Linked DNA regions of Arabidopsis thaliana. Changing the gene in region 2 together with the main gene of any one other region gives a genetic interaction. Each region holds a gene or a part of one and is shown on either strand. Other genes may lie near its edges.

Evidence for each region. Genes that interact genetically often act in the same process or in processes that back each other up.
Region 1: of HUA2 (region 2) and ELF4, changing one enhances a phenotype caused by changing the other (phenotypic enhancement), as found in Arabidopsis thaliana (one study listed by BioGRID).

The regions. Positions count from the first base shown.
Region 1 is NC_003071.7:16,732,650-16,737,714, reverse strand, and holds ELF4 (EARLY FLOWERING-like protein (DUF1313)), read left to right. Parts: upstream 1-2,802; 5' UTR 2,803-2,834; coding exon 2,835-3,170; 3' UTR 3,171-3,421; downstream 3,422-5,065. Other genes in the region: ATH9 (ABC2 homolog 9), read left to right, coding at 1-30; AT2G40085 (uncharacterized protein), read left to right, coding at 823-1,042, 1,120-1,181. UniProt on the Arabidopsis thaliana protein: Component of the central CCA1/LHY-TOC1 feedback loop in the circadian clock that promotes clock accuracy and is required for sustained rhythms in the absence of daily light/dark cycles.
Region 2 is NC_003076.8:7,783,972-7,794,104, reverse strand, and holds HUA2 (Tudor/PWWP/MBT domain-containing protein), read right to left. Parts: upstream 8,271-10,133; 5' UTR 7,933-8,270; coding exon 7,822-7,932; intron 7,414-7,821; coding exon 7,337-7,413; intron 7,114-7,336; coding exon 5,386-7,113; intron 5,314-5,385; coding exon 4,797-5,313; intron 4,567-4,796; coding exon 4,458-4,566; intron 4,247-4,457; coding exon 4,134-4,246; intron 4,055-4,133; coding exon 3,867-4,054; intron 3,736-3,866; coding exon 3,054-3,735; intron 2,952-3,053; coding exon 2,465-2,951; coding exon of another isoform or gene 2,457-2,464; exon of another isoform or gene 2,289-2,456; coding exon 2,193-2,288; intron 2,096-2,192; coding exon 2,025-2,095; 3' UTR 1,950-2,024; exon of another isoform or gene 1,411-1,949; intron 1,374-1,410; exon of another isoform or gene 1,314-1,373; 3' UTR 1,114-1,313; downstream 1-1,113. Other genes in the region: NCLPP7 (nuclear-encoded CLP protease P7), read right to left, coding at 9,279-9,697, 9,988-10,133. UniProt on the Arabidopsis thaliana protein: Transcription factor that functions as a repressor of flowering by enhancing the expression of several genes that delay flowering including FLC, FLM/MAF1, MAF2 and SVP.

The DNA.
Region 1 (5,065 bases), on a different chromosome or scaffold from region 2:
TTACAAGTCAGAAAATCCTTAACCCTTTAATATAAAACGTTCCTGCCAATTTTATATTACACACCTCTCTCTATTCTTTGGTAAGTGGGTATCAAAAAATAACATTTATCATTCTTTGTATACTACACAAGGCTGTTATGTAACAAACCAATAAATCAACTTTATATATACTATGAGATTTGTATCATTTGTATGCTGGGAAGAGCTTATTACTTTAAATTTTTTTTTATATAAATCTTATTATCTTCTTAATAGTATTTCTTACAAAAACAATTGAGAATTTCTACTCATTTTTTTCCATCATTTATGAGAACCTTATGTAAACAGGTGTTGACATCTGAATCAAATTGAACCGAGATGGTTCGGTTTGGTTCGGTTTTGGGTTTGGTTAAATTGAGAAACCTGAATTATGCAGCGACCAAGATCTTATTCTCTGTTCTGTCTTTTCAACACTCGAGTCTGTCTGTCTGTCTCTTCTACGCAGCCGCGACTCCTTCTGTCTCCACCGCTCTATAATCTCCCCTGCGATCAATAAGGACATTTTCTCCGGTAAAGTCTCTATCTTTCTTCGTCTCTATCATTTCGCTTTGTGTTTCGTGTCACCTACATTTGATAAACCCTAGAGAGAAACAAATTGAGTGCCTTTCGAAATCGCAGAAGCACATTGTTAAAATTCGATTGATGGGTCATTGTTTTATTACACGTAATCTATTTCTGTTGATGAAATTAGGTCTATTAAAGATGTGATTTTGATATTTGGGGTCTCACAGCTTTTTTGAAAAAGCTTACACATTTTGTTTGAATTTGTCATTGTTGTTGTAGATGGAAGAGAGTGATGCTGTTCCAAAACCAGTTGTTGTTGATCCTCCATTATACGACGAAGCTTCTCCGTCAGCTTCTCAGCGCCGTCCGGTGGTGATCGCCGCCGATGCAGCTCCTCCGGCAGAAAATCATCTCATTCAAAGGATTCAAAGAGCTCTTGTGGAATTGCGCGAGTTGAGAAATCAGTTTAATGCCATTCTTAGGGAACTAGAATTCGAAGGTTTGTGTGTGTTTCATCTTCCTATTCTACGTTGTGTTTTCTAGAAAAAGAGATAAACAATTTTGATGATAATGCAGTGGGAGAAGAAGAAGAGCAAGCGGAATCATCAGTGGAAGATCCAGAGGACTCTGATTCTTAGTTTGTTTATTAGACTTTTTTTTTTTGTTTCTTCACTAGTAACCTATTTCTATCATGTTTCTATCTCTCTGCCCCTCATGATTTCCTGCGGTAATTATCTTTATCACTCTAAATCATCAAAGCCAACCCTTAACAGATCAATAAGTCTACTAAAAGAGAAATTACAAGTTTTTTTGAAGGAAGAATCAAACACATTCCACATAACATATAATATGCAGTTGTCTATCGTAAATGTTTTACCTTGACAATGGTTTTCGCAAGTAACGCATAATGGTCGAGAAACATTACATTTGCGACGAATTTGAACCTTATTCCCATATATCTCGAGAAGGTGACATTGCTTCATTTATGGGTATTCACCAAATAAGCATTCAATATGAATGGTAGTAATAAAGATTACCACTCGTACTTCTATGAACTTGGATTCAAGTTAGAGCCATTGTGAGTCCACTTCTGAATCTTTCCACTTACCAACCCATTTAGATGTTGCAGAATTACCATTTCTATTGGTTTTCCTATCTGCTTCTTTATCTTTGAGAAGCCAGCTTAAGTTTTAGCGCATTTAGCTCTTATTGCAAGATTGCATTGTGTCATAAAAGGTCGTTCTAAGTAAAATCTGGCACATGTTTTTCCAGTTAGTGGATTCATTTGTGAAACAGTTTGGAAAATGTTGCGGTTAAGAACTGTATTGCCAAAAATAAATTAAATGTTTTTCATCATTACTCATTGGTGACTGAAATGAATTGAGGTCCCTATACTCTTATTGCTTCTCAGCATCGAGTTGTTTGTGCATCACCATTGTCATGACTCATGATTTTTAGAATCATTTATGCAATTCATCATCTTAATCATTATCATTATAGGATGATTGTATCATATATAACAGTCGAAAGGGAAGGGCCAAAAAAAGTGAAATAAAGTTTTGTTCTTTGTAATGGAAGAAAAAGTTGGGAGGAGAATCATGGTTTCACTATGGTTCTTTGGAATTTTGATTTTGGTAGTTAGTGCCCAGGTTCCGGGAACCAAATTCTGATCATACTACAAAAAAATATCTTGCGGATTATTGTAGCTCTTGTCTTGCATAACATGAAGCTTGGAATTAACTAAAGAAAGTTTCTTAGAGATTCTTCTTCTTGTTTGTTCTCTAAAGAATCTAACACTCTTTGTAATGTTTATCTAAACTTGGAACTAATTAGATGTGAAACACTACAATTCATTAAACATGAGATCATGCGTATAGGAATTTGGTTCCTGCTGCACCGTGGCAAGTCGTACACCATATACCTTTTTCCCTATTTTATTCATATTTTACTTTATATTCACTTTACAATAAATATCTTTAGATATTTCTACAATAAGATCCTTATCTCTCTCCATGGTTTAATTAAAAATAAATCCAAGAAAAGTGCATAAAAAGATATGTACTTTTTATTCCTCTACCCAATCACTTCACAGCTTCACTCACGCGCGTGTTCTTTGATATCAGATAGATACGTCTACGTGAGATACACGCTCTTGTTAATCAAGTGGTGATGAAACAGAACTTACTCGCCTCGGTGTCCGATTCTACTCAGAAGATATTTACTATAAATATCTGATTTCTCTCGACTTTGACGAAAATCAAAAAGAGAGAAAAACACAATTAAAAATTATTATGAAGAGGAACGGCGAGACGAAACGGCGGAGGAACGTGGCGGAGGAGGCAGAGCAGGGAGAGGATCCGGCGATGTGGGAGAATCTTGACCGGAATTTCAGACAAGTGCAATCAGTTTTAGACAGAAACAGATCACTGATTCAACAAGTCAACGACAATCACCAATCGAGAATGGCTGATAACATGTCGAAGAACGTTGCTTTGATTCAAGAACTCAACGGAAACATTTCCAAGGTTGTTAACATGTATTCTGATCTCAATACTAGTTTCTCGTCGGGCTTTCACGGTGGGAAGAACGGTCACGATGGTGGTGGTGCTGCCGGAACTAGAGCTTAATGAACCGGAATCAAATTGTTTCTTCTTAGTTGGACCGGCCGGTTTGAGAATTTTGAATCTGTCCGGTTCAAGCTATGATATAAAGTAAATGTTTAGTTTTTGTATTGCAATGATGATTGTCGTTAGAATAATCCGTGGGAGCAAACCCATCTCTATTGGGGTTATTTTAGTTATGGTTTTGAGTCTTTTTCAATGTGTCTCTACTGCAATCTCTCTAATGATTATAATAATAATTGATACAGTATTAGATTACTTCTGGTTTGATTCTATTTAGAGACTTTTCTCATGTGACCTTGATAATAAATGAAGGCTTGTGGTTAGATTGTTGCAACTTGGAGTAAGTAATTTCGTCACATAGTGATGCAATTTGGTATGACATGTTAAATACAGTTGTTTTCTAGTGACTTTTCACTAGGCTGTGTATTAGAGAACTCTAGCATAGAAAATTTCTACGTTGTGACAATATTCATTTCCATCAAAAAGCAAACAGAAACTGCAGTAAAATAAATGTTGATACATGAGATCATGATCTAAAACCCAGGCAAACTATTTCGGCATTCATATACCACTAGAAAGCAAAGATCTTAAGAAGACGAAAGAGCTTTTGCACAAAAAGGACTAAAAAGAAGCATAGTTATTTGAAAGGGGACAAATGGCCAATTTCATATCAAAACATGAACTATCAAACCTATAAGTTTTTTTTGGGATTAAAATGGCATATGAAGAGGTTTAAAGTGATTAGCTCTGCTGTGACTGAGTAAATTTATGATTTCACTACTTTTTCTTGTAAACTTCTTGTACCTTATATTCTCAGTCATCATAAAATAGCAAATTCTTGCTCTCTTTGTGTGTGTAATATGGTATATATAAGGAAATTATGTACGATACTTTGTAACATTTGAATTTGATTTTTCTGTTGAGCATTAAGAATTTTGTTCTTCGTGAGAAAAAATATTTCATACAAAAACGATTCAAAACCATTACAAACTTACTTTGTCTAAGCAGGAAAAATAATTGATGGTCGAAAAGGATAAAAAAACAGAGGTCACATTAATATCAAACTAAACAATTGAAAGAAAACAACTACTTGGGCCTGATGGGGTTTGTCGGGCTCGCAAGAATCGACTGCTTGTTGGAGTTGATGTCATTAAGCAGTTTGCACTTGGCTTAATTTGGACTGTGGTGGACATAAGATGTGTTAGATTAGAAACATTACAACACTGATATGGTTGATGTTATTCTTGAATCATGACTCATGAGGATACATTTTCATTTATATTGTTTACTCTTTAATCTTTATATAGAAGAGGATACATTTTCATATCATTAGATGTAATTGACATATTAAAGATTGTGTGATTGTAAGGATTTTGAAGTAACTTATATTCCTTTTTTTAGGAAATACACCACATGATCAAATCTATCTTCAACGTTTTCGTGTCATAATACTTCATTTATGACAAAATTCTCTGTACCATTTTGACAACTACTGGCTTTGTCTTCTCCAAACACTTTGTTTTCAACATGATGGTGTTCATCAGTTATGTGATGGTGGTGACAATGACATTGTACATGCCCTTGACCATATAAATCGTAGGAGAAATATCTGTCCTTTTATATTATCTTGTCTTACTGGACCATTGAATTTTTTTGTCTCTTTCATCAGATTAAGTTATGTAAACCTTTTTTCTTCATAGAAGTTCTTATATGAGCTTTTTCTTTTTTCCTCAAGAAGAAGATTACACGGGTATACATACTAGAGATAGAGGTACAGAGGCTAATCTCTTGACTTGTAGGCTTGAGCCTAGGGAAGACAAATGAAGGTGCAGTGTATTCCAAATTAGCAACATCTAAAATTTAGGATTTTGCCCTACAAGTCTCGACCAGTGTGTACG
Region 2 (10,133 bases):
TGCCAAAGTTCCAGATGGTTCAGCTCTGTACCAAAGGCCTGTTGCAAGACGTAAGTCACTCAACACCTTTAAGAAGACATTTTCTCGCAATTGAAGTCAAGACAAATACAAGTACATCCAAACATATCCCCAAAGGCATTTGATAACACAACAAAATAACAGGCGACTTAATGCAGAGCAAGTAGGTAAGTATTATGGAAGACTGATCTGACAAAACCCTCACACGTATACTTGATCTTCTGCTGATGCAAATAATGTAATTTCTTTGGTGAGTACTCTTACGAAAATATGTCAATCGACTTGATTAATTCCCTCAAAACAAGTCGACTGTGTCTTAAAGACAATTAAACATCAAATACAGATTCCCTCTCAATCACTGATACTTCTTTATCAACATCAAACTGTTATGTTCTTAAGCATACCTCATGCTGTTCATCATGAAACATGTGATGAGACTTAAGTGTCTAACTGGTTCCCCCCACCTTTGAACGTGCTTAACAGAACAAGCAAAAAGACCAAGAGACTATATACGCTGAGTAAAATAACCAATGACAAAGAGAGGCTACTCGTTTATCTTGACCGTATCTAGTGGTTAAGACAAAGTGCCATATATCAAAGCATCAAACTGTGGTACCAAAACCAAGAGATATATGTCAAAGAGCAAGCAAGAAGTATCTAACGCCACAAACCCAACTATGACAGAAAGGCAAAACCACTTTGAAGATATATGTATGATAACAACAGCTTCTTCAAAACCAAAAACTACAAATAAAGCTATCGAGCACAGCCTAAAAAGTAACACATATTCACGAAGCCCCACAACCACTTAAACAGGTATGTTCATGCCAATTGAACAAGACAGGCGTGTGAGGCATCCGCAAACACATGTTTAACAAAACAAATTAAGAATAGTGTTATTTTGAACAGATTATACGCCAAGCAATGAACATCATAAGCTAATATCAAGGTAATTCGAATCCTTTCTCACTTTTCCTCCTCTTATTTTCTATCTGCTAACATTCGAATATATACTTAAAGAAGAAACGAAAAGAAAATGGTTCTTCTGAGAGATCAAATGGAGAAAACACTTTATCAAGTGCTAACCATAATTATAAAGCAAAACCTCGTTATGTCACTAGCACATGGTTTGAGCTTAGAACATATATTTTCAGACAAACATATAGAAACCAGTACCTCACAAGTCTTCGACATGTTTCTTCAGATCAGCAATGCACAAGATATCAGTATGGAGATTCTTGTAAAATGGACAGACTGGATCACAATTTTTTAGAAATGGATGCTTCTTGTTCCTGCTAAAAATATGAGGCAGCGAGACATAACTTATCTCCAGAACAAAGAAATAAGCATTGGAGAAAGTAGTTATACCTACAATTGCAGCTAACATATATGTAGACCTAAAGAGACGTTACTCATTGAAAGAACAGGATACAGACTAAGCAATAGGTCTCTAGTCTAGGAACCAACAAGGGAGAAAACTCAGGCTTGCACTGAATATTCTTGCCACCTACGACTGCTCCACTAGTCAAGGACACTCTTAATAGTGTATTCATTAATCATTCTCAGAGACCAGCAAAGATTACAGAGCCCAAAAACTGAAAAAAAAAACTATGTTTGACTATGAAGATCAAATCATTCCAGTAAAAGCTTTGAGCAAATTGTGATTGGCATAATTACAGGAACTGAAGTACTAACCAATAAAAAAAGAACCTATACTGTTAAGAATATGATCCACAGATACATTTGTCAGGAAAAAAATACAATATACAGAATCCTGGCAAAAGCCTGCAGTAGTTTTTGTGCCTCTGGAAGTGGATATATCCGAAAAAGGCCTCCATGGAAGAGAAAGTAGTATAACTGTAACTGTTTGATGACAACACTGATAAAAGACTTGACTTTAGTATTTAGAAAACCAAACCTAGAGGATTAACCTTGTTAATGAGACACTAGCAGCTTCTTTTCCATTGATACTAACAGGAGCAGGCCAACAAAATTCTACCTTCACTTCAAGCTGGCCTCCAACAATTCACGGTAGGTATATCTGGCCGAGACGGTAGCATCTGGGGAGCAGTATGACCTTAAATTGGTAATTTAAAATGGTAGGGTAAGCACAAAGGTTTCTGACTGTATCTTTGAGAGTCTACAATCAGACGAATTGACTAATATAGTCTCACCTGGAATTGCAGGGACAGCTTGTAAGTTACTAGCAGCAGAAGGCTGATAGTTCATTGTCCCTGAAGGTGGACGTTCTGGAGGTGGCCGAAAGAAACCTGTAGAATTGCAAATAAGACCATCAATTTCAAGGAACTAAGCCATGGCATTAACATACAAGCTAGACAATCATAGTCAACAGAAGTATCACAATGATTACAACTCCACAAGCAATCATGCAAGTTAATAAACCTTAACAGGTAAAGGGTCTATTAGGATTTAAGCATCTACATACTGTCTGTGACTCTAGGAAGGCCTGGATGTGAATTTCTTCCATGTATCCAGGCACCATTCTGATTTTCTGCACTATGTCCACTTGAAGGAATCCGCCATGGTTCCTCATTTCTGTATCGCCGTGCATCATCACGTTGAGGTGGGAAAGGGTAAGGATGAGTGTAGGAATGCTGAGATTGTGATTGAATATGGCTTGGATACGAAAAATGACTGGACGGTGCTGAAGGCAACCTAACCATAGGTCTTTGGGACAGAGGGGTGCTCGGCTGAAACCGATGGTTCTGTGAAGAAGCTTCAGGATTGAAAAGTACATCGCTGTTCCCAAATTCTAGTTGTCTGGAGGAAGTAAATGATGAAGGCTCCCTGGAGCTGCACACTCCTGCTGGTGAAAAACTGGAGGACTGCTGCACAAAATATTCGGGTTTTCCAGCGCCCTCAACAAGACCTCCACGTGAAGAATTTCCAGGCCCCTGGACAATTTGATCACCCTGCACATGATGTCCAGGGGGTTTAAACAAAAATGATAAAAGATGCATATGTATAGTGAGGAATCATGAGTAAAATGAAACATAACAAATCAAAGAACTCACGGTGAAAATACTAGAGCGGTCTTGCTGCATAGATCCTGGGTATGTTTGATGCGATAAAGGATATGTTGGGGGAGGAAATCCTGGTTGAAATGGTATCTGATGATGGCTAGCTATGGAGAGTTGAGTTGTTAATGATTGTGAAGGCGGTGGAGGTGGAGGCGGCGGTGAAGGTGGAGGTGAAAGTGGTGGTGGAGGAGGCTGAGACGGAGGTGGTGGAAGAGGTGGGAACAGCGCTGCGGGAGGCGGTGGTGGCAGAGATGATGGCGGGAGAGGAGGGGATGGAGGTGGGGGAGAAGGTGGTAGAGGAGGGAGAGGGGGAGGTGATTCCTGAGGTAGCGGAGGAGAATCCTCTGGAAGAGGATTGAACTCGGTTGATTTTTCTGCAACAGGTTCCATAACATCCAGTGATTGCTCCTTTGTCTTATTCTCACAGAAAGAGGAAGGTGCTACATCTTTCCGCTGGCCTGATACATCTTCCATTTCAAGTTCATGATCGACATCCTCCAAAACTCGATGGCATTTATCACTCGAGGTATCATGTATTTCCAGGTCGTCTAAAGCACTGACACGTTCCCCCGCAGATGTGCTTTTTTCTTTTTGTGATGTTGGAAGATCGTCATCTTCTTCATCATCTTCAAAATTATGAGATGAAAAAAACCCTGGCAGCTGAAACGTTGCATTGCTGCAGAAAAAACGACAAACAAGTTAATAAACCCTCTACAGAATGGCAACAGACCTTGCCTGTTATTTTTTCATCAGCAACATATATAATCCGGAGAGTACACTACTAAGCAAGACAATCGTTTAGCATACCTGCCATACTCATCAACAAGCATCCCTTCCATTTCCCTGATAGGATCATCTACAGCACGCTCAGATCTAGAAGGACGTCGCAGGGAAAACCCACCAGTTGCATCATCACCAGAAGCTCTAATATCATCAATATAACGACGCAGAAGAGATTCAGGGAAAACTTTCCTTTCAAGCCACAACTTCAGGACCTAAAAAAACAAAGAGGTCACTGACTCCAGCCTACAAAACTGTAAGGATAACATAGAAACAAGCAAATAGTTTAAATACCTTCAGACATTTACGACGGTTATCACTAGCACCAGTCCCTGGAGGAGCAGCGGCACCTAAAAGACGTGGCAAAGCAGCTTGCACAGTAGGAACGTAAGAAGCACCAGCAATACCTACAAAATTCACAAGCACTGGAAATTATTTAATCTTTAATGATAATAAATATATTAGGTGTTCTCTTTGTATACAGTAAAAAACAATACAACAATGCTTGTGAATTTTTTACTTCCCTGAAATGCTAATAAATACGGTATTATTAGCATTTCAGGGAAGGAAGTGAAAATTTGAGAACAGGTATTGCATCTATCCAAGAGGAAAGCTCACCTTTTTGGCTGTGCGAATGCTGGGTGATAGAGTCGACGAGAAAGAACAAGTCCACTTTACGATGGAAGTGAGATTCACTTTCCAACTTTCGTATGAGAAGTTCCACCACCTAGATAAAAACACAAACAAATTTCCAATTAAAGCAACTATTGTCTGAACAATATTACGCACCAAATGCTGTAAATAATTTTGAGAAAGCAATTTACGTAGCAAGCTAAACATCCAAGAAGTAAAGCCAGAATAAGTGCAATTCTAAATTGATTTGATATGTGCAGCCTAACAATAAGTTTGTCGAAGCCTTAAGAAAAAACATAATGAAAAACCAACCAACCATCTTACCTCACTAGCAAGCCCATACTTGGCACAATCAATTGCTAGGCGAGTTGCACGTCCAATACTTTCCCTGGTTCTTGATAAGGTCTCTAACATGCCTTCAAAAGCATCCCGAGAAATAGCAGCCTCAGTGCTACAACTAAGTGAACCTCCAACTGACTTATGCCCTGAACTAAGTCTTCTCTCTTCATTATCATCAGTCTCAATCTGATTTCTTGATAAGGACTGATGCCCATGATTTGACGGAGAAGAACCTTGTTGATGATGACCTTGAACAACTAACGGCATTGAGATGGCAGCAGAAGCTGAAGCATTCTGAACCATAAATGGGCTATGGCTCCTCCCCTGTGTATCACTGATGCTCAAGAAACTAGGGTTCAAATTCCCAAAAATTGAATTTTGTGTATGTGCAAGTTTTCTTTTTGCCTGCGCAGCAGCAATTAGATCCTTCATAGATGCAGCCGAATCTGGGGTCTTTGCACTGGTAAATGTAGCACTCCCCTTTTCTCTATTGAGGTCAAGCCTGCAAGAAAAGAATAATTATAAGCAGTAGGCGACATACACACAAAAAGATGACAGATAGAATGTGACATACATAGCAGCAGACAAGTCCTCAGACATGTCTCTTGAACCAGAGTCATTCAAACGTGATGCAGCTTTTGAAACCACTGTTAGCCTCTCTCCAACTGAAGCTGATTTGTGTCTCTGATTTGCTGGCTGAGACTGAGAAGAGCTTATTTTGTCAGATCCCGCAACCGCCTCCTTACAAGAATCACTTTGAGGCTTCTTTGCCATCACAACACCAGAAACTTTCACCGATGATTTTACAACTTTATGCTGTCCTGCAACGTGCTTGTTAGTTAAAACCAGCTGAGGGGACATCTTCGGAGATTGCAAGATCTGTTTGACATCCTTTGGCGGCAATTCATTAATGGGTTTTACCACAGGTAAGCTATTAGTAGAATTCTCCGCATTGCTTGGTAATACACGTGATGCATCCTCACAATGTTTACGCAGAGGGAACTTTCTTACTTCAGTACTCTCTGTAGATCCAGCAGATATCTTAGCTTTTGTAGAAGTACTGTGACACACATTAGCCCTTTTAGGACCATCAGTCAAAACAGATGCTGCTTGGGGAACAATGGCTGGTTTTCCATGTAATGGGGTTTTTGGATCTTCATCATCATCTTCGTCGTAGATACAAACAGCCCTCCGTTTTTTCAGCGACTGTGCAGCTGGAGCCTTAACATTACGAACAGGAGAGGAACGGTCTTTCTGTTCCAGATGACCTTTCCCAGATTTATCACGAGACCCAGAAAAAGAAGGAGAGGTAGCATGCTCCATTGTCTGTCTCTGGCGCTTTGTATATGCAACTGCTTCTTTATCATATTGAAAATTTCCACCGCGAGCACCTAATCCTAAAACAATTTCACGCTTAATATCTGATACAGTCCCAGTAGAATCAGATCCATCATCAATTTCACACTTTACTTTATTGTCTGCACTTTCACATCGCGGCTTTTTAGCAGCACGTGAGCTTTCATCTACTCTTGGTGCAAGCTTACCTTGTTCACTTTCAAGCCTCCTTTTCTTTCCGGAAACCCCAACCTTGATGCCAGGTGAATTTTCATGCTTATCAGCAGACACTTTGGAGCTGGTTTTCTCTGTCAACAGACCTTTCGATTTTTTGGAATCAGAGTTACCACTGGCAGTTCGACCACCAGGCACATGTGAGTTATTGCTTTTGTCTCGATGAACTGTATCTTCACCTTTTCTATCAGAGCCACCTGCTTCCTTCTTAATTCTCTTACCGTTAGCCAGCTTCTTTTGGCCATTACCAAAATGTTCATTGCAAGCACTACCGTCAGTTCCTTTATCAAAATCTTCTTTCTTTATTTTAGGGTCAAATGAACTATGCTCCAGTGACTCGCTAACAGGGGATGTGGTTTTGACCTTTGATTCCAGAAATGAAGATGAATCTAGCTTCCTTATCTCAGCCTTTCTCTCCTCACCATTATTCTCATCTAATTTGGGGAAGCAAGGATCCACCCTAAAATTAAAGTTATCAGTTCTCTCAGACTCAATGACAATATGATCTGTTCCATCCACTATCTCAGCCTTTGTCAAACCAGGTTCAGTAGCATCCAGAGAATCCTCATCGCCCAAAGCATTTGACTTGTGATTCTGCAACCCTTCAAATGCAGTGCAGATTTGCTCTACAGCTTGTGCAAAGTACTTGACAGTTTTACCTTGACATCTTGCTAATAGTTTGCTCTTTGCCTCACTAGTGAAGGCTTGGATATCAGGTGGCGCAACAAAAGCTCTGCAGTAAAGGAAGATAACTTTGTCAATGATCAGTTTGTAAAAGACAAAATCAACTCCAAAGATATTGTCAGCCAAAAAGAAAAACACTTGGTAACATGTTGAAACACCTGATAACCGAGGTCTACTACTTAATTCCTAGCAACATGATATACTGACTAAAGTTCATATACCTTTCTGGATGAGAAGGTACCAGAATCAAAGAATAAAAGAGAATAGCTTACATTTCCTCTGTTCCAAAGAACTGAACAAAGTACTTCTTTGGGTCTGGCGCACGATCCCAATCTTCAGGCCGGCTGATCTGAAACTCAAAACCAAATTACTTCACAAGAGAGACTAACTAAAGAGAATTGTATTAGAGAGATTCGGAAGCTCATTATTTATCGAGATGAATAACATGTGTGTTTCATAATTCAACCATGGAATCTGACCGAGTAACTAGATAGATGAGTTAACTGACTTTCAAACCAACTTAATCATGAAGCCTAGTATCTCAACAAAAAGAAACAGAACACACTAGAGCTCAATTCGACGAAGTTAATGTGTATTCTAGAATTCGTAACGATAAAAACAGAAGACCCAACAAGTTAAAGATGATGACTATGGACTTAAGGACTATATGAGAATTCAATTAGAGAAGAAGCAAAAAAAACAAGAATCTGTGTAAGAAAAATTAAAACCCAATAGAGGAATCATAATGATAACGCACCTTGGCAGGCCAAGCAGGGAAGCCTTTGACTTTGGCGAGAACCAGATCACCGAGAACCAACTGCCCTTTGGCTTTGGCCTTGCTCGCTCCTCTTTTACGCCCAGGAGCCATAGGCGAGACCTCTATAAACCCTAATTTTGAACGCGAAATTGGAACACCCAACAGAATTACGTATTCCAATCCAACCCAGACACCCAATTAGAAGAATTCTCCGATTCCTCCTATCCGAAGATTATTCCACCGGAAGAAGCTCGCTGATTAAGGTAGTAGCGGAGACAGCTACGGATCACGAAACGAGAAACAGCGACGTAGCCGAGAGAAAGAGAGAGCGAGATTGATCCAGACAGAGAGAGATGAGGCGGTCGCGAGAGAGAGACGATGGGGTTAGGGCTGAAAGAAGGTGAAAACTTTCCAAGGAGTTTTTGTGAGAAGTTTGGTTTACTGTTGTCGGCGTTTTTTCCCCTTTCAATTTCCTTTTTCACCAAGGAGAGATCGAAATCGAAAAAGGTTTTTCCTTATTTTCCAATTTACCTTATTTTGTAGTTTAATCTCACTACTCCTAAGTCTCAACCAAATATATTATTAAGTCATTGGGTCATTTATGTCCTCTTTTCTTGTTTACACTTTCCTACACGTTTCCATTTATACTTTTAAAAAAAAGGAAAAAAAAATCATGTTTTCCATTTTTACACATTATAGAACCAACAAAATCATATAAACATGTAAACCATAGGATAAATTAACAATTCTGCTAGTATTTAAAAAACTTTTATTAGAGTGAGATTGTCCAAATATAATTCAGAGTAACAGAAGCAAACACTAGCAATTGAAGGCTCAGCTCAACACGACAAGACAACACCGTACAAGAATTTTCATAAAGATCTTAAGATTCTGTCCCTAATTCAAAGAGCATAATCAAAGACCAGTGTTAACACAAGAATATGATGTGTTCTAACTTCTTCTATATAAAAAGAGGCAAATCAGAATAGATGTGGCTTTGACTTGATGAGGTAAGCAAAAACATGAAACCGAAGAACATCGATCAAGAGCATAAGGAAACAGCAAACCCCATCTTCTAACATAAACTAACCAACTAGAACTGGGGTTTCTGAAACTAGACAATAATCTCATCATTTTAGACTTTCTAGTTAGTATAAAATGATGCATAAATCAAAGATTTGCAATGCATCAAACTGCACATAAAATTAAGACCCAAAGCCAAGCGTTAATCCAATATTCATTTTACTGAATCAGATATGAGACTGTAAACACTAAACATGCGAGGAAAAGATTTCAGAAATATAGTCATGATTGATTTATGAATGAATAAAAACAGTTTGAGAGATCATGCCCTCAGAGCATAACTTCATCCATAGAAAAAAGTAATCTAACAGGATCAAAGCAAAACTGGTAAGAGGAAAAGAAGAAAATTTATTACTTTGATTACCAGTTACTTCCTAACTTGAACTCTTATCTTTGCTTTCATTTCCAACTGCATCTTTCACCAACTCCAACGGTCTTTCATCAATCACTTCATCGATTATTCCAAACGCCTTAGCCTCTTCAGGAGTCATGAAATGATCCCTATCCATGTTATTCGCAACCACGTCAAGAGGTTGACCCGTGTGTTTGACATACAATTCATTTAACGCATCCCACACACGAACAATCTGTTTTGTATGAATCGTTATATCTTTAGCCTGTCCACTATATCCTCCTGAAGGCTGATGAATCATAACAGTTGCATTTGGAAGTGACCGCCTTTGCCCCTTGGCACCCGCTGCCAACAGAAGAGAAGCCATTGATGCAGCCTGACCCAAACAAATTGTGCTAATAGGAGAACGAATGTACTGCATAGTATCATAAATTGCAAGACCTGTATCAAAGACAAAGATTAAAGATGCGTCACAGACTCACAACAAACAATTTGAGACTCAGAAAGTGTTAACTCGTCACAAACCAGACACTCTTGAGACTGTGGACATTAAAACTAGTAGCAGGAATCAAGTTACAAATCCACAGAAGAACAAGTATCAACGAACAGTATCAAAGTTTCAACTATATCAAGTAATTGACAAAGCAGTGGCATATAGCGATCTGATTCCGAATCACACTAGTACGAATTTTGACGAAGCTAAAGATAGAAAATGGAAAGCGGAAGCGTACCGGCGGTGACATGGCCGCCAGGGGAATTGAGATACATATGGATCGGCTTCGAAGGATTCTCAGACTCGAGGTAAAGAAGCTGAGCGACGACGACGTGAGATGTGTCGTCATTAATGGGACCGTTGATGCAGATAATACGCTCCTTG